Diceros bicornis minor: one gene and its partners. The protein of the gene in region 1 purifies or fractionates together with the protein of each later gene. This does not show direct contact. Links are inferred from orthologs where the notes say so. Each region holds a gene or a part of one and is shown in the gene's direction. Other genes may lie near its edges. The genes, in order: ARMC8, MKLN1, RMND5B and TCEAL9.

Evidence for each region.
Region 2: the proteins of ARMC8 (region 1) and MKLN1 purify together in Homo sapiens (affinity purification with mass spectrometry; 4 studies listed by BioGRID and IntAct, with this or other methods). This does not show direct contact. The link is inferred for Diceros bicornis minor from reciprocal best matches to the Homo sapiens genes ARMC8 and MKLN1.
Region 3: the proteins of ARMC8 (region 1) and RMND5B purify together in Homo sapiens (affinity purification with mass spectrometry; 4 studies listed by BioGRID and IntAct, with this or other methods). This does not show direct contact. The link is inferred for Diceros bicornis minor from reciprocal best matches to the Homo sapiens genes ARMC8 and RMND5B.
Region 4: the proteins of ARMC8 (region 1) and TCEAL9 purify together in Homo sapiens (affinity purification with mass spectrometry; 3 studies listed by BioGRID and IntAct, with this or other methods). This does not show direct contact. The link is inferred for Diceros bicornis minor from reciprocal best matches to the Homo sapiens genes ARMC8 and TCEAL9.

What each region holds. Positions count from the first base shown.
Region 1 is NC_080741.1:15,010,635-15,017,536, reverse strand, and holds the start of ARMC8 (armadillo repeat-containing protein 8), read left to right. Parts: upstream 1-3,879; 5' UTR 3,880-4,117; coding exon 4,118-4,162; intron 4,163-6,902. UniProt on the Homo sapiens protein: Component of the CTLH E3 ubiquitin-protein ligase complex that selectively accepts ubiquitin from UBE2H and mediates ubiquitination and subsequent proteasomal degradation of the transcription factor HBP1.
Region 2 is NC_080742.1:79,614,395-79,622,056, forward strand, and holds the start of MKLN1 (muskelin), read left to right. Parts: upstream 1-4,638; 5' UTR 4,639-4,662; coding exon 4,663-4,760; intron 4,761-7,662. UniProt on the Homo sapiens protein: Component of the CTLH E3 ubiquitin-protein ligase complex that selectively accepts ubiquitin from UBE2H and mediates ubiquitination and subsequent proteasomal degradation of the transcription factor HBP1.
Region 3 is NC_080740.1:90,962,677-90,970,234, forward strand, and holds the start of RMND5B (E3 ubiquitin-protein transferase RMND5B), read left to right. Parts: upstream 1-4,548; 5' UTR 4,549-4,630; intron 4,631-7,558. UniProt on the Homo sapiens protein: Core component of the CTLH E3 ubiquitin-protein ligase complex that selectively accepts ubiquitin from UBE2H and mediates ubiquitination and subsequent proteasomal degradation of the transcription factor HBP1.
Region 4 is NC_080781.1:96,198,139-96,204,185, forward strand, and holds TCEAL9 (transcription elongation factor A protein-like 9), read left to right. Parts: upstream 1-3,842; 5' UTR 3,843-3,959; intron 3,960-4,456; exon of another isoform or gene 4,457-4,523; intron 4,524-4,897; exon of another isoform or gene 4,898-4,900; 5' UTR 4,901-4,954; coding exon 4,955-5,269; 3' UTR 5,270-5,536; downstream 5,537-6,047. UniProt on the Homo sapiens protein: May be involved in transcriptional regulation.

The sequences.
Region 1 (6,902 bases):
CACTTGAATAAAGCGATGTCTACTAGGTTTCTACTATCATTAGTAACTTGTGGGGAGATACTTTAAGACTGCATAAATATCCTCTTTCTCATCATATCGTCACCAACTAGTTTTAACATCCATTGATGATTCTTGCCTCAAACTATTATAATTCACATGGTTGTCAATTGTTGGTTTTCAAATTCCATCATTTCTTCTACATTTGTAAGTTGGGATTCTACCATAACAGTAATTGAGTTATAAAAAGAACATTTTCTTTTTTTTACTGTAATTTCTAATAAAAGACTTTTTCAACATCTTACTACTTCTGCTTTATGCATATACCTATTTTACACCCTCCAAACACCTGATGAATTAATGATGCATTACTTCCCATTGCAAAGCCCTTGTAGACTCTCCTTAATTGGCTGATTGCTTAGGTGAGTGCTCAAGAGTCCCGTGTGGGAGAGTTTGTCAGGTCCCAGAGGACTGTGAGAGCTCTGGGAAGGACTTTGAAACAGAGAAGCCTGTGCCCAAATTGTTTTAGCCACTTACTCCCTGAGCAAACTTAAGCAAATTACTGAACCTCTCAGAGTCTCACTTTTATTCCTGTCTACTTGAAGGCAGGAGCCACATCTTTATTCTACTTTGAATCCCCAGTACAATGTGTGCCCAAGTAAATCCACACTTAGTGTCTGTTAAACTGAACTCTCTCTCTTCTGCACCACTATTAATCCATTTTCTCTTTCTGTTTTATTTATTAAAGAATCTTATTTGTTTTCAAATCTTTTTAAAGTTTCTTCTAAATTCCTTTTGGGGCCATTCATTTCTTGTTTTACATCTTTATATACTTTAAGCTTTCCTCTTTTTTTTTTTTTTTTTTTTTTTTTTTGTGAGGAGATCAGCCCTGAGCTAACATCCGCCAATCCTCCTCTTTTTTTGCTGAGGAAGACGGCCCTGGGCTAACATCCGTGCCCATCTTCCTCCACTTTATATGGGACGCCGCCACAGCATGGCTTACCAAGCAGTGCGTCGGTGCGCGCCCGGGATCCGAACCAGCGAACCCCGGGCCGCCGCAGCAGAGCGCACGCACCTAACCGCTTGCGCCACCGGGCCGGCCCCTAAGCTTTCCTCTTTTTACATAGGTATGTTTCAACTTTCAAAAATATGGCTTTGTTTCTCTATCTTGGCAGTTCCACTTAGATATTTATAAATACTTTTCAAATTTCTCTCTGGCTACTTCCTTCTTGTTATGCATTTCTACTTTTTCTTTTATTAAACTCACACTTTGTTGTCATTATTTTTTTAGAAATTAATATTGCTCTGAGATAAGAGTTGATGGAGGATGAGGAGAGATTTCTTTCCTGTTTTCAGGGAGTCAGTGGATAGTTCCCTCTCCCGACCACAGTACCAAAGTTAACTGTTTTGTTGTTGCTGTTACATGGAGGCTGAATCAAAATTTCTTATTACCCCTCAATTTCTACTCATTACTTAGGTTTGGGAGTGTGCCTAAGGTTATTTAGCAGCAAAATTTGAACTAGAAATGAGATCCTTGATCCTCAAGCTTAGGGGTTTGCTGATCAATGCTTCCTTCCTGTAAAATGGCCATGTCAATCTTCTGGAAATAAAACAGGAAAGCCTGAGTAGCAGAGGTGTTGGATGCCTTGAGTCATGTTCCAGAGCCCCTCCCCATTCTAATTTCAGCCATAGCTGTAATGATGGTTCTGCTGCAAGCTCCGATTCCTGCTGCCTGTATTCCTGTATCCCAGCCCAAAAGTGAGCCTACAGATTCTGCTTTTCTACATCAGGTTAAGCCAGCCCTCTCTGTTCTGTGCACAAGTACAATCCAGGAGGGTAGGGAGTTAACAGTGCCCGGGAAACCCTCAATCAGTACAGGATGGGAGTGGTAGATGGGAATGGTGGATAAATGCTCCAACCTCAAGATGGGTATCCAGTGGGGCATTCTGCTTGTTTCTCAGAGGTCCTCAAAGAATAAGCAGTGACTTCAATGATGGACCCTTATATTGACTTTTTCTTCTCTCTTTTCTCATTCTCCCTGGCCCATCAATTCTGTTCCTTGGAGACACTTTCCAAATAAACTACCTGCACCCAAATCATTGTCCCAGGATGTGCCTTTGGGGTGCCCAAACTAAGCCAAAAATTTGTTCAACAAACATTTACTAAATGACTATTCTATGCTAGGCAATGAGATAAAAGACCTAGAAGATAAAATTCCTAGTGCCTGCCCTGAAGTGTATAATGGCGATACAAACAACTAAACAATTGCAAAAATTTACAATATATTGTTGGAGATGCTATGTTAGTGGCAAGAACAGATTGATGCATGAAGATATGGGGGAGGGGGCACCTAACCTATACTTGGGGGAGGGGCTTCCTGGAGGATGTATTGCTTGAGCTAATGGATGAAGTGTGGACCAAATACAGCTATAATAACTATATCATACAAATGTCAACTGAAAATTCAATTGATACCTCTGTATGCTCTGTGTAAGGGCTATACTCTGCTCTGTTGTGGTATGCAGTACATGACATGCTCTTAGGTGATACACGGATGGACATTTAAACGTTTTTGTAGTTATTATGTTAATGTGCACTAGAATGAAAAGGAGCACAATAAACTTAATTTTACAGAGCGTTATGGTTTTAGGATGAGGCTAATATTACTTAATGAGTTGAAATTGACTTTAAAGAAAAATATTGACTAAATAACAATATCTAGGTGCAGATTGGCAAAGATTGTGTTGGTGGCATGCTGATTACTGAAGTTTGGGAAATAGTGTTGTAGCAGCAGGAAAATCTAAAATGAAATTCCTGCTTTCCAGCAACTCAACGGTTTTTTCAGGAACACAGACCCATAAGCAAGGATGATTAGTGCTACAATAAATTTAGAAACCAAGTACAGAGGGAAGATAAGAGAGCAGTGAGGAGCAAAGTGAAGAGACGCTAGAGTTGGAAGGCTATTGCTCTAGTCCAGGGGAGAGGTAATAGCCTGAATTAGGGAGTGGCATAGAAACGGAAGGAAGACATGTAATGTAATAGGCTCATTGCGACAATCCTGTGAAAAACCTTCCTGGTTGAGAGCAGCACGAAAGTGAACCCTGTCCAGCCACGTCCAGGGCAGTTTTGTCCACATACACACACAAAAATGGAGTGGGATAACTGAATTAATCAATCAGAAAATACAATTAGAAGCATATTTTATATGACTTCATTTATCAGGGCGTTTTAGTGTGGATTATTCAGATATTTGCCCCCATTTTTTTCTGCTTGACTCAGAGGCTGTAGAAATGCTACCACATATATAACGCCTTCTACGTTCCAGGCATGTTCTAAGAGCTTTACGTTCTCCATCCTCATAACCCTTATTTTACAGAAGAGAAAACTGAAGCGTAAGGAGGTTCAAGAACTTGCTGGAGGTAATGCAGCTGATAAGTGACGTAGCAAGGATTAAACCCAAGCGTTCTGGCTCTTGAGTGTCTCTTCTTAACACTACACCACAATAAATGAGTCGGGCAGATAATGCTGAAGCAGGTCACACTTCAGCGTTGGATCGTGAAACCCTCTTATTGGCGGCAGTAGATCTGGTTCTGAGATCCTAGTTTCTCCATCTCTAAAATGGAGATAATAACGACGCTAGGATTTCGATGCAAAGAAGGAGTGAGGTACTGAATGTGAAAGTGAACTTCAAATTATGTATGTTACTCCACATACTAGTTTTTCGGAACATGAATACGCTAACATAAATTGCAATGAATCAATCTGTGGAACTCGTAGCGGCGGAGCCAGACTCCGCCCCCGAGGCTCCGCCCACCGCGAGCGGCAGGTGGGGCCGGCAGATCTTCTTTGCGCATGCGGAAACTCTGCCCGCTCCCACCTCTAACCCGGGCTGAGAGTAGCTGCTGTTTCTGAGAGGACGTTTCGTAAGGCGGCCCATGGTGCGGTTTCCCTTTGCTCCCTTCTGCGGGCCCTGGCCGTACTTCACCGGTGTCTAGAGGTGGTCTCTTCTCGTCTAGCCGCCTGACTTTCTGCAGAGGTGTCTGTCGTTGGCCCAACAGTTCGCTGTCGAAAGTGCCGGCCCCCGCGCCGGCGCCGGCTGCAGCCGGTGGGAAGGCTCAAGATGGCGTGCCTGTTGGAGACCCCAATCCGCATGAGCGTCCTCTCGGTGAGTGACCCGCCGCAGCCGCCTGCCCGCCCGGGAGCTCCGGCCCGGCCCGCAGCAGTCACCCAAACGCGGCGGACCTCCTGGGCACCACCCCTTGGGGTGGCTTCCGGCTCAGCTTTGGGCCGGGGAGGGAGAGAAGGTGGGCGGGCGGGACACACGGGATCCCGGCCGAGCCAGAGACGTCTCCAACTCCGGGAGCTCCCACTGGTGCCGGTTCTCAGGACGGCATCCGGCGGGCGGGGTGGTTGGGCGTCCGGGCAGCTGGCCCGGCGGCGCGGCTTGAGCCCTGCCAGGCGCTTCACTGAGCCTTCGTCTTAGCGCTGCCTCTTTTTCGGGGCCGAGCGCTGTGCCCTGTGAGGCGCCGGGCTGGCCGCTGGCCCGGGAGGGAGCGCCCACTTGGCCCCCCGCGGCTTTGGCAAGAAGAGGTGCGGGTTCCTTAGCCCGCACAGCCTCGCCGCTGCCAGGCCAGGTCTGTGCGGCTTCTGTCGCGTCCCAGCACCCGGGTACGGGCTGGACTTGGCAGGAGCTGCTTGCTTCTTGGCAACGGGGATTTCATATCAGCTGCAACGTCTCCGGGTGTATGTAGTTATTTAAGCCCCTTTTCTCCTGTCTGCTCTGGAGGTCGCAGCTCTGAGTCTAAAGGAACTTGTGCCTGGCATTCTTTTTTCCTTTAAAGGAGCGTCAAACGTTGGGAAAAAAGATCAGATTTTCCTATTATTGAAAGAAGGGAACGTATTGACATGCCGGAAAGTAATATCTAGGTTTTTTTTGTTATTGTTTGTTTTTTGTTTTTAAATGAAAGAAAATAAAAACGACTTCCACCTTTCACTATGTTGCTCTTTAGAGAACCAGGACCGGGGTGAAAGTTACTGGGAGATAACTTCCAAGGGTTTTGCGACAAATTAGAGCTGTCCAACTCCGAGAATGGTCAGTTTACCAATGATCTATTTGCTGTTGTTGGAAACAAGCAGGCAAAGACTGGTTGACCATCTTTTAGACTTGCTGTGGAAGTCAGTCTGATATTGAGAGGGCAGTTGGATTATAGATAGCTTGTCAGGTTCCTAGAATGTGACTCCCCTTGGTTTCTTTTCTCTTCCCTGACTTCTTCCACGAACACAACTATCTGGAAGCATGTAGGACGTTTTCTTATGATTCAGGGTTAGAGCGTTGTGGCATACTGCAACTTTGATAATTTAATTTTGGGAGGCTGTCAACAAACTTGTCCCCTGATCCATTTTAGCAGTTCTTTTTCTTATTCTAAACTGCAAATGGGGAAATACTGTTTACCTAAGTGTTGAATCAGATTAGCCCATTACCCCACAGCTGACTGTAATACCCAGGCAAGTTTTGTGGGAGAGCAGGCCAATGACTTTTCCCTCATTATGTTTATTTTTTTTTAAACTATGCCTCGACTGTTCTTGGCTCCCTTTAATTATCTCGTTTATCCTTCATTTCACCTGAAGCTTCTTTACTTTCTGTACAGTCAACTAGTGCATACAATTAAAATTTTCATTTGTTATACTCCCTCAGTAAATAGTATTTCCTGTTTAGTTTTATTCAAAAACTAAAGTATTTCGTACTTTTAGTGGGGATTTGTTTTAGCTTTAGTCTCCTTGGGGGCTTTTTTTTTTTTTTTATAATTTTATTTGTTTATTTTTTCCCCCAAAGCCCCAGTAGATAGTTGTGTGTCATAGTTGCACATCCTTCTAGTTGCTGTATATGGGACGTGGCCTCAGCATGGCCGGAGAAGCGGTCCGTCGGCGCGTGCCCGGGATCCGAACCCGAGCCGCCAGCAGCGGAGCGTGCACACTTAACCGCTAAGCCACCGGGCCAGCCCTTTTTTTTTTTTTTAAATTTTCACAGTGCCCACGTCTGCTCTGTCAGTTCTTCAGTCCTAGAGCCTTGGGAAATCAGAGCTTTGGATAAATGATTCAAACTGTTTAAATTCATTGATTATACTAATTTAAAGTGAAACCTGTACCTGTCAAAGTACTACCCACAGCACCACTTTTTGAAATACAAAGTGCAGGTGGAACAGGAAATATTAATCAGAAATTATTTTGAAAGTAATCGATTCCTTTAATAGGTTACTTAGTTTGCACCAGTTGTGTACAACACCTTGTAATGTATACTTTAGAGAATGCAAGTATAAGATCAGATATGTCCTCAGGGAGCTCACAGTCTGAATGTTTATCACAGCTTGATAAACATAATTCAAGCAAGGGACAAATCAAATGGTTTTAAAGGATTTCCCTTCGAGGCTCTTTATACCTTCTCCCCCCTCAGAGATCTCATTCACTCTTATAACCTTAACTATGATCAACTCACACATGTACCTTGCCAGCCTTGGGTTTTCTCCATCTAATCTCACATCTTCAATTGTGTGAATGTTACCCATCACTTCCAACAAAGCACATTCCTTCTGTTAAAGGAAGGACTTACTCATGACTTCCCATTTGTTAAAGGTACTGACTTTCACTGATCACTCACTGTTAAACCTCTTGAATCATCTTTGACTCTTGCCCCTTTCATGACCCTATATCTAATCAGTCTTGAAGTTCTGTTGGCTCTTCATTCTTAACGTTTCTCACATCTGTCTGTTCCCATAGCCACCCTCTCATTCAGGACCTTATCATTTTGTGCCTGCAGTACTAGAGTGTCCTTGCAATTGTTTTTACTGCATCTGGTGTCTTACCCTCTCAGTTCAAGTCCATTCTCCACATTAATTTTTCTATGGAAC
Region 2 (7,662 bases), on another chromosome or scaffold:
TGTGACCTTTGGTTGACTTAGAGTGACCTTACAGACAGGGAGTCAGGGGAAGGAATACCCCAACCTCACTCTCTTCTCTCCCACACATCTGGAGGGGCAAACCAAAGATAACAAACAATTATTTAACTTTTCTGAGTCTTATTTTTCTCATTTGTGAAAAGGGGAATAATAATATTTATCTCTCAGAGTTTCTGTAAGAATTAAATGAGAACTTAACGTTATATCATAGCAGACAAGCTAGGCAATACTCTTTTTTCATTTGATCTTTAAAATCCTCTTGTGACGTAAATAGGATAGATTTTATTAAATTCACTTTATAGTGGTGGAAAATGAAACTCAGAGAAGTTAAGTGACTTTCCTAAGGTCTCATAGCTAGAAAAGTAGCAGAACTGAGACTGAAACTAAGATTTTGAACGTATACTCTAAGTTTCTTTCCCTAGACTATTCTTTTTTTTTTTTGGTGAGGAAGATTAGCCCTGAGCTACCACCTGTTGCCAATTCTCCTCTTTTTTGCTGAGACAGATTGGCCCTGGGCTAACATCCGTGCCCATCTTCCTCTACTTTACATGTGGGACGCCTGCCACAGCATGGCTTGTTGAGTGGTGCGTAGGTCTGTACCTGGGATCTGAACCTGCGAACCCTGGGCCAGCGAAGCAGAGAGCGTGAACTTAACCACTAAGCCACTGGACCAGCCCCTCCCTAGACTATTCTTGTACCCCTCTATGCCCTTCTGCAGAAGGCTTCCACAGATGGTTTCTTCTATCTAGAGCTGCTATACCTGGAGCTATGGTGACTCTGCTACTCAGAGAAAAATTAATTGACCCAGGAATCAGTGCCTAAGCCAAAAAAAGGAACCACTGATTCATTAGATATGAAGAAGGCCAAATGCCTATGAAGTGGCTTGATATAAGACTCTGACCAATACAGGTCCCCATGTCGGATACTTGGCAATTCCACTTGGATATCTATTAGGCATCCCTTATATAGTACATTGAAGTCAGAATACTTGATTCCTTCTACCTAGAAACTGTACCAATCCCAAATCCTCCCCTCTCAATAAAAGCATGGCTATCTACCCAGTGGTGCAAACCCAAAACCCAGGAGTTATTCTTGATTCTTTCCTTTTCCTCCTGCCTTCCCTCCCTCATCAGCAAGTCTACTTGGCTTTACTTCCAAAATATGTCCCCATTCAATCACTTCTCTCCATCTCCTCTGCTAGTCCAAGCCACCATCATTTCTTGCCTGGCTATTATAATAACTTCCAGTCCTCACTTCAGCTCTTGCCTCTTTCCAACCCATTTTCAGTTTTGCAGAGCCATCTCTACAAAATGTAAAGTGGATCATGCTACTCCTTGGCTTGAATCCCTGCAGATTTCCCCTTCACATTTCCATGTCATGACTCCTTACCATGACTGTTAGGGCCCTACTGGTTCTGTCTCCCCTCTCCTCCTCCGTCACTAAGCTCCAGCCACACTTTCTATTCTATGAACACACAAACCCCTTTCCTGGCTTGGGCCCATTGCACTTGCTTATTCTCTCTACCTAGAATGTTTTTTTATCTAGCCTTTGCATGGCTGGCACTTTCTCATTGTATAGGTATTAGCTCAAATATTACCTTCTTAGAGAAGCTTTCCTTTACCATTCAATCTAAATTTTACTCTGGTGTAGTCTTTTCTTAGGACCTAAAACGCACAGGCAAAAATTATCTAGTTGACTTATTTATTATATTTATTATATGTTGCCCTACCAGAATGTAAGCTCCACGAAAGCACAGCCCTTCTCTGGCTTCTCTGTTTATCCCTGTCTCCTAGGTATCTAGGACAGGGCCTGGCATATCAGAGCCTCTTAATAAATCTTTTTTTGCAGGAAAAGATAGTGAATGGTGACAACCCAAATACAATTAGTTATCTCTCTGGGAAGTATTTACTATGAGAAGCCTACTGAGAAGTCATCAGAGAGTAAAAGATGATTGCTTTTAGGGGATGACAAGGTGACTGGGTCACTAGAGCTGTTGATCCCTGAAAAATGATGATTCATTGTCCAGTTCTCCATGAAGCCATCAATATGTCCCAATCTTAGAAGTGTGGGGGAACTAGAGGGGCTAAATGGATGTGATGGTTTCCAGGCCTTCCCCATGTATCCTTACAACAAACCCCACCACCTAAGGCAATGCCCCAAAGGCAGAGGAGGTAAAGGTATACCCCTAGGAGATCTGAGCAACTAGCAGACTCTTGTGGATTTTAAAATTTCTTTAGTCTTCTATTTTATCTTAACATTTACCCAAATTTTGGGTTCAGTATCATAATATATCTATCTGTATTTATATTAACAAATGAATGCTTTAAATTACTTTGCCACTTGTAAAATGTGTGCTGTATGAAAGCCATGCTGTCCTGGGTCTTTACATTCTTTGTGGCAATTGTACCTCAGGGATACATGTTTGCAGTCTGAGAAGCTCTGGCATTCTTTTTCTTTGCAACCCAAGTTCTCTTTTATTCTTTTATTCACAGTTCATTATTCTTCAGTAAATATTTATCGAACATCTACTATGTGATAGACACTCTAATAGGACTGAGGATATGACTGTGAACAAGATATGCATGACTCCTACCTTCACAGGAGTTATAGTTTAGGGAGAGAGAATGAGAAATAAAGAGGAAATTAAAACATATTGTGATTTTTGCTAAGATAAGGAGGGAAACTCAGGGTGCCAAGAGAAATGTAGAAAATAGTACCTAATCCCAAAATATGTGATGAGGAGTGATTTTCTAGAACGAAATAACCTGAAAAATGAGCAGGAGTTAGTCAGGCGAAGAATGGGGGAGAGTTTCTGGCTTGGTTTGGACTAAGCCCTGGAGGCCAGAGAGAGCACAGAACTTAAAGGAGACAATTCAGTGTGTTAGTTTAGTGTGGCTAGAGTAAAGAGTGCAAAAGAAAAAGAAGAGAGAGAAGGCTGGAGAGGTAATCAAGGCAGGATACAAAAGGCCTCCGCTAAGGACTTTCGATGTTACCCAAAGGGAATAGAAAGTCATTGAAAGTCACATTAGGAAAAACCGGCTTATATGTGTTTTTTAAAAAGATCACTCAGGAACCATAACTCTATTTCTGGAAAAGAACAAGGACTCTACTCACATTAGGGTAAGAATTAGCAATTTCAGGGCCCAAAACTAATTGAACTGAGTCACCATCTTAATCTTCTCCCCTTAAAAGTATCTCTTTTCCCCCAAAATAACCACTAGTCATCTTTGGGACTAAGCTTTTCTGGCCTCTCCTACTGTCTCTGGTCTCCCAACTCGAGTCACTGGGGCTATAGCATTCCCTCAAGGAACAAATCCTTTTCCAACATGCTGTAACACACAAAGCACATGTGATTTTAAAGGTTAACATATTGTGGCTTTTCTATGAGGCATTCTTGATCTGATAGTCTAGTGGAGGCCACTACTAAGTTTTCCCCTATGGAAACAGGAAGTCAGGAGAGGATCCGAGGAAGTTTGGGCAGGTTAATGATTATAATGGGAAAAGAATACAATTATTCAGGTGTTTTGACTTAGTTGGTCATACACTGAGAAACTCTGCATGAGTTTTTCCATCTTCAGGTGGAGATGAAGATAGCGTCCAGGTTTTCAAGGGTAGAACCTCTTAGACAGGGAGTGACGAGGACTTTGGTAATTGCAGTGGCTAAGCCAAAGAACAAACATGCCAACCCTGACAAACAGGTACTTGATGGGAGCGTTTTCTAAAGCTGCCAGATATTGAGAGCAAGTGTTCCTTTTTTGATGAGAAGCTGGTATGATGCCCCTAGGGCATTCAGAGCACAAGGGCTTTTATTCTCTTTGTGGTCTTTTTCATGAAACTCTCTGTCTCTCACTCTTTCTGAACTTTTGGGCTAAATTTCTGACAGAGCTAAAAGTGGGCAGCTTTACCACCTGGAAAAATGATGACACACAGCTTCCCAACTCCGTGAGGATTTTTGTGGTCTGCGAGTGAATGTCACTACTGAGCAAACCACTTCCACAAGATTAGGATGAGAGAGCTCACAACCAATGTTTATAGCGAAGGGCATCACAGACTGAAAACAGAACAGGGTGAGAGGACAGCCGAGCACCTCCTTTTCCTGTCTCCATGTGACTCTGAAACACGGGAACAAGACATTTAAAACCAGGACAACTCCAGAGGGAAAGGACATTGGCTATTCCACTCCAATTCCCCTCAATGCTGCTTCCCTAAAGGATTTATAAACTGGAGAGGGCAGTGGTTTCTAAAGTCGCAAAGGCGTCCTTTCTCCAAGTTCGTCTTCTCATTTTCCCTTCCCGGCCCACAACTACAATTTATTTCTTTTCATAATATTCTTGGCTTTTTCCTTACTTCAGCTTGTGAGAAAAGTCCTTTGTGCCACTCCCCTCCAAGCCCCACAGGAGAGCTCCTCAGGTGCTCACACTCCAGTCCCAGTTTCGGCCAGTCATTAAGGAGGGTTCAGCGTCGGAGATCCTAGACGAGAATCGCTGACCCTCGCCCGCCTCAGCCCTCCACGCGGGGGTAGCGATGCGAGACCGGGAGAGCGGACGGCCCAGGCGGGCCGCTGCCCCTTTAAGAGCAGGCCCCGCCCCTCCCCTCCTCCCGGCGCGGCCGGCGGTCGGTGGCGGCCGCTACGGTGCTGACAAGATGGCGGCTGGCGGGGCTGTCGCTGTGGCGCCTGAGTGCCGGCTTCTCCCCTACGCGCTACACAAGTGGAGCTCCTTCTCCTCCACCTACCTTCCCGAGTAAGTGCTGGGCCCTGGGCTCGTGCTGCCCTACTCTTCGGCGTAAGCACGGCTGGGCCAGGGGGGCGGTGGAGGGCAGCCGAGCCGAGAGGCCCAGGCGCGGCCTGGTGAGGGGGACGCGCGGCCTCCGGAGTCTCAGTCCGGCCGCGGAGAGCGTTTCCCGCCCCCGCCTCAGGGAGGGGTGAGGGTCCGGAGAGCGAGGTCCTGGCGGAAGGGGCGAGGTGTGTGGCTGGTCTTGAGTGCGCAGGAGAACGGGGAGCCGGGTGATGCTGCGCCGGGGACTTGGGAGTGGAGGAGGGCTTGGGGGGCGGGCGGCTCAGGGAGATGGGGCAGGAATCGGAGTTTTTGGGGTCCCGACGGCGGGCAAACTGGTGAAGATGTCTAAGGTCGTCCGAGGTGGCCGGAGACGGGGGACGGTTCAGTCGATTGCTGCCGGGACACGAAAAGTGTAAAGCTGAGGAGTGACTGTCCCGAGGAGGGGAGGATCATTAAAAGTGAATAGCTCCAGAGGGGGGGCTAAAAAGCCACGGAAGGCTGGAAAGTTGTGGAATCCACCTGAATCCTTGCAAGTGGGGAGTCGTTGTGGGATTTGCACAGGATATCTTTTCCGGCTGGCAGTTCTGGAAAACGTAGTGGGTAGGAGGGACATTACAGAAGAGTTCCGTTATATGATGGCTCAGAGTATGGGTTCATATAGACACAGGCCAATTTCCCAACCTCGAAACTCAAGTATAGGTAGAAAAGTCTGACTTGAATAAATTTGACTTCCAACACTGGCTTAGTCTGGATCCGCGATTTAGGTGAAAAAGCTCCACTGCCTTACTACCATACGTTTTCTGTAGCAGATTCCTTCTGAGATGCTGAAAGTACTTTCATACAGTATTTACTTATCTTTAGCTTATCTTTGAGAGAAGGAGCAGATCAAACTCCAATTTTACATACAGATAGAGAAACTGGCTTAGTAAAGTTTTAAGATCTGTGCAGATGCTGAAGACAAGTGCTAGTTTTCCCCCGGACCATCATCTCACAAGCTCAGGAATGATTTTATGAACCAAACAAGTTACAAATAATGTATTTTTATGTTACTGAAAAAATAAAGTGACTAGATCTGTGATCTAGTCACACAATTTGAGCATACTCAAAGAAGTTTTCCACCTATATTTCAAAAATTCTTCACGTTTTCTCAAACTTGGTTTCTCTAGTCAAATCAGTCAGTAATCTCAAAATGGAGCTGTGACTAGAAGAATCTAACTCTTTTTACTGCCAGCCCATTGTCCTATTAGCCAGGTCAAGGGTTGGCAATCAGGCCTTCAGTAGGATCTGGTTTAGTGAAGGGTGCCAAGTGACCTGTGGTCTAATCTGGCCTGTGTGGCATATTGATGGCTGCTGGGTGGCTGTGTCCCTGATTGATGCTGGAATCCAACTTTTAATTTGAGAGTGAGCCAGAGAAACATTCTAGCTTTCAGTTGGAGTTGAAATGTGGCTCTAGGTACTTGCCTTCTGATTTTCAGGGCTAACAGATTCTTGAATCTGAAGATACTCAGTATTTTTCTATACCCAGGTTAGGATCACAGACAGTTCGTAATTGGGGTGGCATTGTTTGATCTAATAACTGTGGAGACATTTTCATCATCTTGAGTTAGGCTGTTTCCAGGATTTCACTCCTTAAACTTCTAGTGTAAGAGTTGGATATCACAAGTTCCATCTGAGTTTTGAGTAAAAAAGAAATAGTACATTTCAAGCAGGAAATGATTTAGTGGGATGGCAACTTTACTCTGATTTATGTCTCATCCTGACCCCCGATTTGAAGTGGACAGAGCACTAGTTTTGAGGTTAGAAGGCAGCAGTTTGAAATTGGAGAAATCTGTTAGAATTTTCTCAAATATATTCATAAACTAATATTTAACGCATATTTAAATTTCAAACACTTTCATTCACAGTGTCTTATTTAATCCTTATGATATTCTGTTGACTTATGCATATAGTTTTTATTTTAAAGGACTAAACTATTATGATAGAAGAGTAGTCTGAACTTTTTCTTTGAAGGAGTATAGTTGAGTATTATGGAGCTTGAGTTTGAGAGTTTTGTGTCTGCTGGGTTGGTGTGTGCCATGCCAAAATCGTAAAACTCTTTTGGTACTGGACTTCCATTAGCAAGTGAGGATTTTATACCTTTGTTATGATAGGAAGTGTGAGAAAGGGATTGACTTTCTTTACTATTGCCCTAAAATCCTCTCTAACAGCAGTTGCTATATCTTTACTGGCAGTGACAGTTATGTTAAGGTACTTCCTAAGCAGGTCTGATTTTAAGTAAAGCCATTTGTTGAAATTTACTGAATTGAATTGTCAGTAAAGAGTAGCAAGTATTTATTGATTACAAGTCAGGAGCTAGGCATTTTGAGGGGTAACAACAATGGGAAACACTTATAATAATGTGCCTTCCATATGCTAGGCACTCTTATGATCACTTTAAGTGTATTATCTCATTTAATCCTCACAACAGTTGTTTGAGGAATCTCCATTTTTCAGTGGAGGAAGCAGGCATGGAGAAATTAAAACTTGCCTAAGGTCACACTGCTAGATGGAGCTGGGATTCGAACCCAGGCAGTCTGGCTCCACGTTCCATGGTCTTCTGTAGTGCTGTTCTGCTTCTGCACGAAGGTAGAGACAGGAATTCAGAGATTTGAAAGTGTTCTTCTATTAAAGGCACTTAACATTTTAGTTTTGTGAAGACGTGAAGTCGTGGGAGAAAAAGAAAAATTCACTTCTCTATTTTCTTCCTAAGGACTTAGAATTTTTTTCCTTCTAACCCTTTTAGAATTATTTGGACTTTAAAAATGTTAAAGCAGATCTAGTTATAGATAACATATTTTACTTTGAAACTAACAAAGTGGCCTTTTAT
Region 3 (7,558 bases), on another chromosome or scaffold:
CTCTGAGACTGGGGGCTGTAAGTATTAGGGAGCCTTTCTCTAAATGGGGTGCAGGCCCCACAGTGACGATTCAGATTGCATAACCCACCGCCCTATGGGCACTTAGGCTTCTATACTGGATTCAGAAAAGAAAATGCCATTTCAGGCCTGCCCCGTGGCTTAGCGGTTAAGTGTGGGCGCTCCGCTACTGGCGGCCCGGGTTCAATCCCAGGCACGCACCGACGCACCACTTCTCCGGCCATGCTGAGGCCGCGTCCCACATACAGCAACTAGAAGGATGTGCAGCTATAACATACAACTACCTACTGGGGCTTTGGGGGAAAAAAATAAATAAAATTATTAAAAAGAAAATGCCATTTCTCGCAACAAAAACAAAGTGAAATGTGTCACGAGAGGTGAGCCTTGAGTGCGATGGGAGTTCAGAGGATAGCTGGCTCACCATTCCAGGTGATGGGGGGGGGTGACAAGGGTTGACCAAACTTTGGTCAGGTCCTTCTGAGCTCTCTTTTTCACTATACCTGACCTTGGGCTCCTGTGTCCTTCCTTGTTCAGTCCAGTTCTAGCAAGAATCCTGCTTAGTTAGTTTAGCCAGAATCCTCCATCCTCCATATCTGATCACCCTCTATCTAATCTGGTTCTTCAGCCCCGGTCATCCCCCAGAAAGTATCTGATCACCCTGGCCTGCCTTCAGCGAGAATCCTGTGAGGTTCCTTTAGCCAGGATCCCCCCTGCCCCCTGAGGTTTCCTTAGTAATTTTCCATCCACTGACCCCACCCTGCTCCTTGGCTGTAAATTCTACTTTTCCTTGTCATATGTGGCATTGAGCCCACTCTCCCCTACTATAAAACCCCGTTGCAGTAGTCCCCCTTGAATAAAGTCTTCTTACCACTCTTGAACAAGTGTCATGAGTAATTTTTGTCTTTACCACGGGTGAGCTTCTCTGAGGAGGGGAAGTTGGGGGGCTTTCCTCTGGAGCAGTATGGGATTAGGGCATCACAGGATGGGCTTGGACTTGGACACAGGGAAGTGTGGGGCAGGTCCAGGGGAGGGTTCTTGCTGGAAGGGCTGAGGGAAGGCAAGACAGGTCCTGGACAGCCTAGTGAGCTGGCACAGAGGACTTCACCTCCTGTGACTGGGTGGGTCCCTCAGGCAGCCAAGAGGAAGGGCCAGAACCAGGACTAGTTTATGTGTGTGTCACCTGTAGTCCCAAAGGGCCCCCCGCTCAGAGGGGCCTACACTTTATGTGACAGTACTCTGTTGTCCCATCTTGAGTTCCTTAACAATGTTTGAACAAGGGGCCTCGTATTTTCATTTTTCTCTGGGGCCTGCAAATTATGTAGCCACTCCTGGCCTGAACCAAAGCTTTCAAGGAGGGACAGGAACAGGAAGAAGGAGCGGGAGACGTTGGGAGCCACCTGTAGGCTGGAAGGAAGAGACAGGGCCTGAGCAGCAACTCTGGCTCCATGGACTGAGCCCTGATGCTCCTATGTTCCCCAGAGGAGGACAGGCAGTGGCTGCATCACCCACCGCTGCCCCCACCCCACCAGCTGTCAGGAGGGTCCATTTTTTCCTGGCCTGGCCTTCCAGGACTCGGTCTGGGAGGTGAAGGAGGCTGTATTTTCAGGAGAGCACTCCAGGGCTTGCCCTCTCTGTCAAGAACCTTTATCTATTTATTTATTTATTTATTTAGTTAGTTAGTTAGTTAGTTAGTTAGTGAGGAAGATCAACCCTGAGCTAACATCCATGCTAATCCTCCTCTTTTTGCTGAGGAAGACCGGCTCTGAGCTAACATCTATTGCCAATCCTCCTCCTTTTTTTTCCCCAAAGCCTAGTAGATAGTTGTATGTCATAGTTGCACATCCTTCTAGTTGCTGTATGTGGGACGCGGCCTCAGCATGGCCCGAGAAGCGGTGCGTCGGTGCGTGCCCGGGATCGAACCCGGGGCCAGTAGCGGAGCACGTGCACCCAACCGCTAAGCCATGGGGCCGGCCCGTAGAACCTTTTTTTAAAAGAGATTTATATAGTGTCCTCTGTGTACCTGTTCCCCCACCACCATTTTTAAGGTATATTTTACATACAGGAAAATTCACCCTCTTTAGGGTACTGTTTTTAGAGCTTTGACAAATGCAGAATTGTATAACCAACCCTACAATCAAGATATAGAAGAGTTCCATCATCCCCCCAAATTCCTCTGTGCCCTTCTGTAGTCAGCCTTCTCCCCCACCTCCAGGCACCGGTGATCTGCTTTCTCAATAACTTTGTGTTTTTCTTTTTTTCCCTTTTTGTGAGCAGTGTTTAATCCTACCATATATTAGAACATATCGCAAATTAGCAAGTAAAACAGTATGATATTGCTGTAAAAATAACACTACACCTCAATGGAAAGAATGAAGAGCCAGAAATAGATTCTATACTGTAGAAAAATCTTAATATTATGATAAAGGGCTTCAAAACAAAAGGGTAAGGAAGGATTATTTAATAAGAGGTGCTGGGGTAACTGAACAAAAATATGGGAAAAAAATGTCATACTTTGCACCACTCCCCGCAAAACAAAATGGACATGTATTGAGGAGTTAAATTTTAAAAGTCAAATCCTAGGAAGCTAGCAAAAAAGTTAAGCAGACTGTAATCGAGTTAGAGGAGAACAGCTCAGTTTTTCTGCTTTGAAGCAGCCCTACCCTCAACAAAAACAAAACACAAACACACAATCCCAGCGAGGAAAGATTGACAAAATCAGCTACGTAAAAAAACTTGGTGCATCCTAAAAAGTAACAAAACCGCAATGCAAGGAGAGCCACATGCTGGGGAAAACCATGACAGGCAGAGGTGACAGTGCCCGACATACAGACGTGCCTTCAAAGTTCCCAGACAAGCAGGCCAGGGCTCCCAGAGAGGAAGTGGGGAAGCCTGGGGCGTTGGGGAAAGCCTGTGAGGTCCTGCTGGCTTCCAGGCGGCCTGAGCCTCGGCCTCATGGCCCCAGGCAAGGTTCACTCAACCCTCCAGCCCCTAGCTCCCCCATGGGCCAGGACCACCCAGGCTCTAAGCACAGACCGGCCTCTCCAGGATGCTCCAACGCCTTGCGGGCTCCCTCCCCGTGGGTCTGTGGACCCCCGTCTTCCCTACGTATTTCGTCAGGTGGAGGATATTGGCTACCTTAGAATATTTCTAAGCACCTACTATGCTCCAAGCACATGGTGTTGGGGATATAGAAGTGAGGAGTACGAAGTCCCGGCTCCAATGGAATTTTTATCCTAAAGGGGGAGAGGTGTTAGGGGCAGGAAGACAGAATAAACAAATCAACACGAGATAATTTAAAGTCAAATGCTATAAAGAAAACAAAACTGGATTGCGCAAGTGCTATACAGAGAACAGAACAAGATTGTCAAGGGGGTTTGTGGGTGGGGTGGGGGTGGTGAGGAGGCGAGGAGGATTAGAGGGGAGGATGCCCTGGAATGGGGCTGCCCCAAAAGGAAGCAGGAAGTCAAGGAAACAGACTGAGCCTTTTCTCCCAGGCTGTTTCTAGTCCAAGTCCCTGAGGCCTGTGGAGCGGTGGGAGCTTCTCTGCTCCTCCCCTCCAGAGCAAGGGCGCCTGGGAGGATCATAAATTCAGTTCTGAGCTGGGTCTGGGGTCACCGCCTCCTCTCTCCTCCTTCTTAACCCTCACCCTTCCTCCTTAGGGCAGTTGTGCAACCCCCATCTTTCCCCAGACCCCCAAGGAGGGCGACCAATGGAGGACGGCAGGGCAGAAGCTGGGTCCCCCCCAGCAGACTCTAATTCCCCTATTGAATGTCCAGTGGGTAGATTAAGTACAGGATTAGGGGATCAGCAACGGTGCATCATTTGATGTTTCAAAAACAGCATCAAGGAGCCATCGCAGGAAAGCCTGACATGGGCCCCCTCCCGTGCGTTGTGCTGTTCGGTATTGGCTTTACTCCAACGAGGTCGGGGGGCGGGGGAGGCAGTCTCTTCTGGTTTAGGGCTGCGGAACGCGGCGCCGCGGCGCCGGGACGGGGCGCGCCCGGTGGGCCCGCCGGCTCCTCTTCCGGGTGGGGAAGTCGCCTGCCCCGCGCACCACGCCGGCTAGCGCGTGGGGCGACCGAGTCCTTCCCGCCGCCGGGGCAGGTGGCGGCCCGGCAAGGGCCTTTGGGCCCCGGAGCCCCGGCGCGGCCCGGACGACTCGACTGCTGGCGCGCGGGGGTGGCGGGGGCCCGCGGGGACGCGCGCGGGACTGCTCCCCTCCGGCGAGCCGCGAGTGGGCGGGCCCGGGCGGCTGAGCAACAGCCGCCGCTTCCGGTTCCGATGACAGCGCGCCGGAAGCCAGGGCCGGGCTGCCGGGCAGGTGAGAGACGGCGGCTTCCCGGCCGGGCGGGGCGGGCCGAGGGCGGGGCGCCGGGTGGCGGACGGCCGCGGGGGTCGGTGGCTCGGCCGGGCCCCAGGCCCCGGGCCGTCTCGGAAGCCCCCGACTCCGCCCCCGCTCCAGTCCGCCCTCGGGCTTGCTTTATCCGCAGTCGTGGTCCCGGGCCTGGAGCGGGAGTCCCACAGACTCACAGGACCGTCGAGGAGCCGCCTCTGCCGGGGGAGTCGCTCGGACCCGGACGTCCCACCCTAGTGCCACCTGGCCGGGTCGGAGGTAACTCACTGCGGATGAGGGGGCCAGGCGGGGCAAGCGAGCAGGGTCTTTTGAAGGATGAGTCGGAGTTTGCCAGTCACTTGCACGTTAATGTAGCTGAAACTCCCAGTAGGTGCTGCAGTCCACCAGTTTTGGTTAATGACAAAAGAAAGATTTGAAACTTCAAATAGAGATGTGCAATGAAGAAAAGGAACAGGGTGACAGGACAGAGTGACTAGTGTGGGGGTGGGGCAGAGGTCAGCATTAGATACTGTGGTCTAGGAGAGCATCTTTGAAGAGATAACGTTTGCCCTGAGACTGTAATGAGGAGCCAGCCATGGGAAGATCTGGGCGAAGACTGTTCCAGGCAGAGAAAACAGTCAGTGCAAAGGCCCTGAGGCAGAAATAAAGTAGATGTAGTCAAGGAACAGAAAGAAGGCTACTGTGGCTGGAGTTATGGCGAGTGAGGGGGAGAGTGATAGAAGATGAGGTTGGAGAGGTGGTTGGGAGTCAACTCACATAGAGCCTTGTAGGCCATAAAAAGGAGGGTTTATTTCGTTCTAAGTACAATGAGAATTTGTTGAGTTTTAAGCAGAGGAGTGATGTGTAGGGTGGAGAATGGATAGAGGTGGGGGGTGCAAAAGAATAAGTGTTGGGTCACTCTCCAATTCTGTGTTAGGCAAAGGGGACCTCCCTATGATTTGCACAAACTTCCCTTCTTCCCCCTTGCCCCAGAAGGGACTCTCTTGTTTCAGGGTGCTGAAGACTGGGAACAAAACCTCCATGCATGCCTTGGTGGGAATTTTAATATTTCACTCATGTCTCTTCCCGCCCACCTCCCGCAGGTTTGAGCTCCCGCTCCCTAGCCCAGGGGTTAGGAAATGTCTGCACTGTTTAATCAGCAAATGTTCACTGAGCACCAGCTATGGACCAGGCCCGGGGCTGGCACTGAGGGGAGAGAGAGGACGAGACTGGACTCCAGCCGTGAGCAGCTCACAGTCCAGTGGGGGAGACAGACGTGTGAGCAGGCAGTTACTGTGCCAGAGCTGAGGACTCAGCTGTGTGTGGCAGGGGCGTTCTCGACAGGTTTGTGCAGCAGAGGAGAAGGCAGGGAGATTTCATTGAGGGCTTCATGGGGAGCTGATGATTAAACCACATCTTGTGTTCTCCATGCAGAGGAGTGCGGAGGGCACTCTGGACATAGGAAAGACTTGTGCAAAGGAAGCGAATGTACAATTACAAAGGACTTGTCTGTCAAGCTATGGCAGGGTTGAGAAAGGGAGATAGGATCTGATGTGTCATTTTGGTGGGATCACCCTGGTGGATAATTTCTGTACATGTGAGACCTTGGGGAGGAGGGCTTAGGACAATGGACATGAAATTCCATTAGATTAATCATGCGGTTTGTGAAAGACAAACTCACACACTCATCCATCCTGGTGTCTGGTAAAGATGGCCGACTGTGATCCAGGCAGAGTGGCTCACCCTGGACAGACTGAATTAGCCTCCTGGGCTTTTTGGATGGAATACTCACAAACAGTTTTGTTTTCCCAGGTCATTGATTTTATTTTTAAATTTTTTAGATTTAATCACACTTCTCAGTTCATTGTACATTTAATTGGTCCATGCAGGGCCGTTTTCTCCTTTGTGTTTATCTATGTATTCCTTTTCATCCCCATTCCTCCCTTCTTCCCCCACCATAGGAAACCACTCGGATGTGTTTGGTGTATATCCTTTTATTTGCATGCTTGGTTGTATGCATATATTTTTAATTTACATAAGTGGTATTTTGCCTAGAGTTCATTTTGTTACTTTTTCCCCCTCAGGACCACATTTTGGGATCTAATTGATGTTGCTGTGGGATTATCTGAAACATGGTTTCTAAATGCTACCCCGGTTTCCGTAGATGCATCCCCCACATCTTATTTCCTTGGCTTATCAATTCCCCCAGTGATGAGGCCCTAGATTGGCTCCCATTCCCTGCTACAACATATAACTGGGATAAAAATCCTTGTACCCATCTCCTCCCTCAGCCTTTTAATACAGTTTCAAGATGCTGACTTGGGCTTCCCTTTGATAACCCTGGTATCACTTGGTGCCTGACATGGGCAGAGTGTTTGACCTTGGTGAGGTCCTGACCTTTCTTGAGCTGTGTTTATTTTTGGTCAGTTGTGATTCTGGTTCCCAGACACTCTTGGCAAACATTCTTTTGTGCTGTCATCTTTCCTAGTTGATCATCTCACAGGCTCTGTGGTTAATTTCCTGTTTCTTGTCATCATTAATCGTTGCTGTACGCTCATTCCAACCACAACTCTTGGCTGCTTTCCTTTCCTGGTGAGACAGTGGCCTGTGAAGCTGGTCCAGAGAGGACTGGGGATATGAGGTGCTTCACAGAAGGGCTCTGGAGCCAGACTGCCCAGCTTCAGTTCCCAGGCCCTCCACCTCCCCGCTGAGTGACCATGGGCAACTTATTTAATCTTTGTGCATCTCATTTTCTCATCTGTAAAGTGGGTCTAATAATTGTACCTACCTCATAGTGCTTTTGTAAGAACTAAGTAAATTAGTTAATGTATGCAAAGTCATTAGAACAGTGCCTAGCACAGAATAAACCTCTAAGAAATGTTAACTACTAACAGCAATATTAATAATAATTACAGTATTTCAGGTAGGAGTCTCTGGTATATTTTGCCCATAATGGCTCACATCCAGTTATAGAGTATTTGCTCAGGGGGCATGAAGAGGGGAACATGTCTTCTGGACACCATGATTACAAATTCTAGTGTGAGCATCACCTGTAAAGAGGGAAGGCATAAACATGTCTCAAGCCCCTGAGTGCCATTTCCCCGTCACTTGTCCCCTGCCTGGTAGGGAGACAGTGGCTACAGGCTGGGCTGAGATGATGAGGCCAGGACTGACAGTGCTGGTGAGGATGGGAAGAGAGTCTGGTGA
Region 4 (6,047 bases), on another chromosome or scaffold:
TATTGAGCACACCTCCTCTAAAATCCTGGGAAAGTGGAGCCCAACCCCCTCTAATATTGCCTTCAGGCTCCTTGCTTCATTCTCTGCCACAGGGCGAGCTTCCTCTCCATTCTACACAGGGACCTGTTCCCCTCCTTCTTTTTCCTTTTTTCCTGGAGGATATTTTCCATGTTGAGATTTTTTCCTCCGTTTATTCCACTTTGGACTCCATTACTCCTAGGAGACAAAAGCAAGCAAAAGGACTGAATACTTGGTGGAAAGATCAGCACCGAGGACAGAGGCCCTACTATGCACCTTTCAAGATTTCATATATCAACGTCTTTTTTAAATTCTATTTTTCCAACCTGAGAGGACTCCTGCGCCCTCTAGGGGGCCTCCAGCCGGAGCTCCTCCCTCGCGCTTGCTCCTCTCTCCTCCCTCTTCTAAAGCTCACCATTTTCCCTATGGATCCTTCCCCAGGCCTATGCAGGCCCCAAAAGGGAGAATCCCAAGGGGAGCCTCGTTTCCACGCCCCACCACTGTCCGGCGCATCGACCTCCGCCTGTCCTTGCTGTCTCCTCCTACTTCCCATTATCTCAGCGAAGTCTGTGGCCTTGAACCCGCTGACCCTCAGACCTACAGACGGCTGGGGTGGGGGAAGCGGGAGCTGCTGCAGCCGAGAACTCAGTGCGGACCCGCCGCCGCCCGGCTCAGTCCCAGACCCGCCCTGCGTCTCCTAGCGCCCAACTTGGTCCCTCCTTATCCTCCCTCTTTCTCCGAAGCCATCCTAAGCCTCTGGTACTCCTGGTTTTTTAGATACCCACAATGGTGGAAGAGGGGAAACTATTTAGATAGAACTTTTACCCTCCATGTCTGTTTCCTTCTCTTGTGATTCGTTTCCACATCTCTACTACCAAAATGTTTTGCACCAAAATGGGCGTGGGGCACGGGGAGCGGGGGTTGTATGAGTGGAAAGCTTTCCAGCATATACTCATCTACCCATATTCATATACCGCTTGCCGCCCCAGGACCATCCAAAATGGACTCTGGATAAGGAAAAGGTATCAAGAACGCAGACTCGGAGCCACTTGAGGGTTCTGCCCTCAGCCGACAACCATCCTGATGCCAGGGTTACCCCAGGCTGCTCCAGTCAGAACACAAACCTACGGCTTTCCGGGACAGTTGTTTTTCCCTTATTCCTTGACCAGAAGTTTTTCTTCCTCTGCAACAGGAATCATTACTCAGAGCATACAAAAGACAGGAAGAAAGGGACTTGGGCCCAGGTAGACTCTCTTCATGTGAAGGCCACATCACAGAAGAGTTCAGGCTCTCAATCCTCCCTCCCACTCAAGCAGGGCAGCGGAAACCCTCAACCCCTCCTCCTCCCCCGTCACCCCGGATCTGGAATGTCTATTTTTCCACCTTGGCATTTCAGGAGACCAGATGTAGTATTTGGCTTTCTCTAATTATCAGGGAGAGGCAGCATTTTCTGTTGGAGTTATTGTCCACTTAGAATTCTTGTGGAATTAGCCCTTTCCCCTGTTCTAACTGCCCCTCAACCTGTTCCTTCTCCCCTCCTCATCTCCCTGTAGTCATTATTTTTCCCCTGAGGCCCTTACCTGCACCTAAATGGCCAGGAAGCTAAGTGTCAGGAAAGGAGGCTGGGAGTGCAAAGTGGAACATTAACTTTCTTCTATGTACTTTTCTGTTCCAATTTTTAAATTTAAAATGCTTTGTTTTCACATTACAGAAATACAATACTTACATTTTGGGGGGAGGAAGAGAATGAGTATTTATCCCAAGATTTCTCTTTTCATTGAGGTACCTTGCTATTTGGCTGAATTAACATATCACATCATAGAAAATATTTTCCAGCTGCTACAAAGGAAAGAGAAAATTTTTAAAACATGTTAATTGCTCACAACCTTTAAGATATACTCTTTAGGAAGAAAAGTAATTTACAATAAAAAATGAGATTTTCTATTAAATAGGAAATCCTCCATAACTTGGTCATGTTTATATTTATCAATTAGAGAATGTTTCTGATGGTACTTCCCAAATAGCTTTAAAAAAAAGCAGGCTAATTAGTTTGAAAATTTGAAACAAGTTTTTCTAAAGCAAATCAACATTTTGTGTATTCAGTACATTAATCCCTGTAGACCCTAATAAGTGTCTTATTTTTGTCCTGTTTTAGACAAATGATCTATCTTTTCCACTTCTGGGAGTTTTCATCTTCATAAATAATTGGCTCAGTTACATGTTGTTAGAGGGATGCAGCCTGCTAGGCCTTGCACCTCTGGCCTGCTTATCTCCAGGGGACCCAGGAGGAGCCTAACTTTGCTGCAGGAGATAATGCCTTTGGGCATATTGCTTAAACTCTGTTTAGTTTCTTTATATAGAAAATGAAAATATCTTCCTCGCAGTTTTTGGGAGTATAAAATGAAATAATGGCATTAAAGCACCTTTCCCTTTTCAGGACATTTTGAGGATTTCTGGAACCATTTCCACCACGCTGGAAAAAAGCAGCTGCCATTCAGGATGTTTCAATCTTCCTAAGGGCAATAAATTCAAATGTTTCACTAATCACATGCTTCTTTCTAAAATTCTGAGAGCTTGCTTGTGATCTCCTGTTTTAGAGGTAAGGACAGTACAGGGAGAGTAGCTTACTAAGGGTCACACAGTCAGTTCTAGGTCTGGCACTGGAACTAATCTCCTGTCTCTCACACCAGTGTTCTGCTCAGCCAACCCAAAACCACTATATCTTGGGCTTTCTGGTGCTCAAATACACACGCTTCCCAGAAGATAGAATAATGTGACAGAAGAACAGGTGAAATAAAATGACATAGGGTGAGGGTTTTTTCTTTCCCCATAATCCACTGAGCTCTTTATTCTGCCTCATAAGGGGGCACCGAAACTTATACAAAACTAAAGTAGACGTTTATGACTTCTCCTGTTATTTTTCAAATGCTATCTCTGAGAGCTATGCAATTGTTATTGGCAAATTTGTGACTTTTACCAAAGACTGAGGTGAGGTTGAAGGGTAACCAATATCTGTTGAAGGGTTTATACTAGCCAAGTACTTTGAGCCAAGTGTTATCATTTAGAATTCCCAAGAGTCAGTTCTATGAGGTGTATGTTATTATTCCCTTCTTTCAGATGAGGAACCTCAGGCTCACAATGTGTACCTGACGATGACTCTGCAGGCAGCACAGCTTCCTGGCAAATAATGTCACCAGGGCTCTGGAGTCAAGCATTACTTTTTTTTTTTTTTCATTTTGAATCCTTTTCCCCAAATGAAATCCTAGTATAATTATAATAATAGCTTGTACACAATAGTGCACTTGCCAGGCACTATTCTCAGGATTGTAGATGTGTTAACTCATATAAGTTACTTTAAAATATATATATAAATGTACTAAGAATAAAGTAAAAACTACATTCAAAAATCTCACTCCTGTCCCAGGCTGTTTTTTTTTTTTTTTTCACAATCCGCTGCCAAACCAACCCTGCTCCACAACAGCCAAGGACCAGATTGCAGATGAAATGGAGGCTGGGGGAGGGGCGATGGATGTAGGAGTTCTTAATCCTGGGAAAAGAAGGCAGGAAGAGAATTCTTGAAAGAAGTAGAAAAGTTTAGTAGCTCCAGAAAAAGATGCAGCCCCTCCCTAGTAATCAGAGAAAGGCAAATAACATTTTTCCCTCTGGAATAGGCAACAACAAAAAAGACTGACAGGACCAAATGTATACGGGGGGAGGGAGCAGAAGGAGGGCCCATTTCTGCCGCGCTTTTGATGGGAGTGGAAAGTGGGGACCCGAGCTCACTGGTGACGTAGGTCTCACGTGACCAGGAGTCGACGTGTGCAGAAGTCCTGCTAGTCTGGTCCTTGTTCCCGTCTGGGTACCAGCTTCCTTCAGCAGCGCGGACGGTGGGGCCTGAGGCCAGGGGAAGGAGAAGGAATCAACTTGCTGGACTTTTGCAGGTTGGTGTCAAAATAGGTGCTGCCTAGGGATTTCTAGAGTGGGGGTGACGTAGGGCAGAGACTTGAGGGTGTCCTGGTCAAGTCCATCTCTCCACCTCCCACCTCCAGGTCTGCAGGAAATAATGACGCTTGGGAAAGGAACTAGGGGTCCCGGGAGAAAGACAAAAAGACCAGTGCTAGTTTAAAAATTATCATCCTCTGCTGCCTCAGACAGCTTTCCCAACGCCTACCCTGCCCCCTAGCCCCCGCCACAGTCTTAGAGATAGTTTGGAAATAATCTGCTTTTCCTACTCCCTGTGTGATGGGCAATTCGAGCTGACTTGCACTGGGGAGAAGGGGAGAACTGGGGGAAACAGAAGGTGAGAAAGTTTCCATAACCTAGAATCTTAATGAGGAAAAAGGTACGTGGTGCTGGTCTACCTACCAAGCACTCGCCCCACCCCCATCCCCTTCCCCTTCCCCACCCCTTCCCCCTCCCGTTTCCCATTTGTCCGCAGGTCTGTTGTTCATAGCACTTACACAAGGGTAAAAAAGGTGAGGAAGAAAGTGACTGGATCAGTACAGGTAGGTGAGGGGAATATTATAAAGATCCCTGGGGTGGAGGTGGGCGAGGGCGGGACAGATGTTGTGGGCCCCACTTTTCCTCTCTCTCACCTTCTCCAAGCATACTCTGCTCTAAGAGGGTCTTGCGTTATGCCCTGTGCGGGAGAAATTGTTGAGTAGGGCCTTGAAAACGGCTGGAGGAAGGGACAAGCGAGAGGTGAGCAGGTGGAAAGTGGAGGTAAGAGCCCCGGGCTCAGCCCTGATTGCTGACTGAGTCTCCCAGGTGGAAGATATTTGATGAGAGCTCTGAATCAAAGAAAGCAAATACTGAGACTGTCCAGAGCACTGGTCCATTCACCAAGCTTTTGACTTACTGTCTCCTTCTTGCTTCCTAGAAGTAATTGTATTTAAAGAGGAGTAAATAGAAAGGAAGGAAGGAAGAGAGACACAAGATGAAACCCTGTCAAAAAATTGAAGGAAGACCAGAAAATGAGAGTGAACCAAAGCTTGAGGAAGAGCCAAAGCCTGAGGAAAAGCCAGAGGAGGAGGAAGAGCCAGAGGAGGAGGAAAAAACAGAAGGAACTTTTAGAGAAAGGCTGATTCAATCTCTCCAGGAATTTAAAGAAGATATACACAACAGGCATTTAAGCAAGGAAGATATGTTTAGAGAAGTAAATGAAATAGATGAGATAAGGAGAGTAAGAAACAAACTTATAGTGATGCGTTGGAAGGTTAATCGAAACCATCCTTACCCCTATTTAATGTAGTTTACCTTGATTTTTATTTTTTCTGATATTAACATTGCCATATAGCTTTCTTTTGATTTGAATTTTCTTGATATACCCTTGTCCATCTTTCTACTTTTAATTTGTTGCTATTAGTGGTTTTAGATGCATCTCTTGTTATCTGCATCTCATTGTGTATCATATTTTGAACCAATCTACAAATCTCTGCCTTTTAATAGGAGAGCTTTACTCATTTGTACAAAAAGAGTTTCCTGACAAGATATAAAATAAAAAAAGGTTACTAAGTAATATGTGGATATCATATTTTTGAAAGAATAGTACATTTGTATAATACATATATGCACAGAAAATGCATGAAGGATGAAAGACAAAAAGTACAGTCGGGTAGGATTATGAGTGATTTTTTTATTCTGCTTATTTGTATTTTTCCTTATTCCTAGAATGTACACACATTATTGTTAAAATAATAAAAAGTTTATAATAAAAAAATAAGTAACCAACAGCACTTATCAGTTTATTTCTAAAGGCACTGGGGCACTTAATATTTGTTGACAGAACTTTAGAAGCAAATGTCAACTCCAAATAACCACCAGACCACTTAGCTAGAAGAATAGGTTTTAAATCTTTTCTCATCTGCAAAATAGAGATAATAATGATCTCTTAAGGGATCTTGTGAGGACCAAATAAGGTAATGACTATGAGCTTATATTTGACAGGTTTTTTTCCCTATCTGCCCATGCAGGATCCCAACTCCTGAGGGATTTGTTTCAGCTATTTGGGAGGGCGGAGAAAGTAGTTC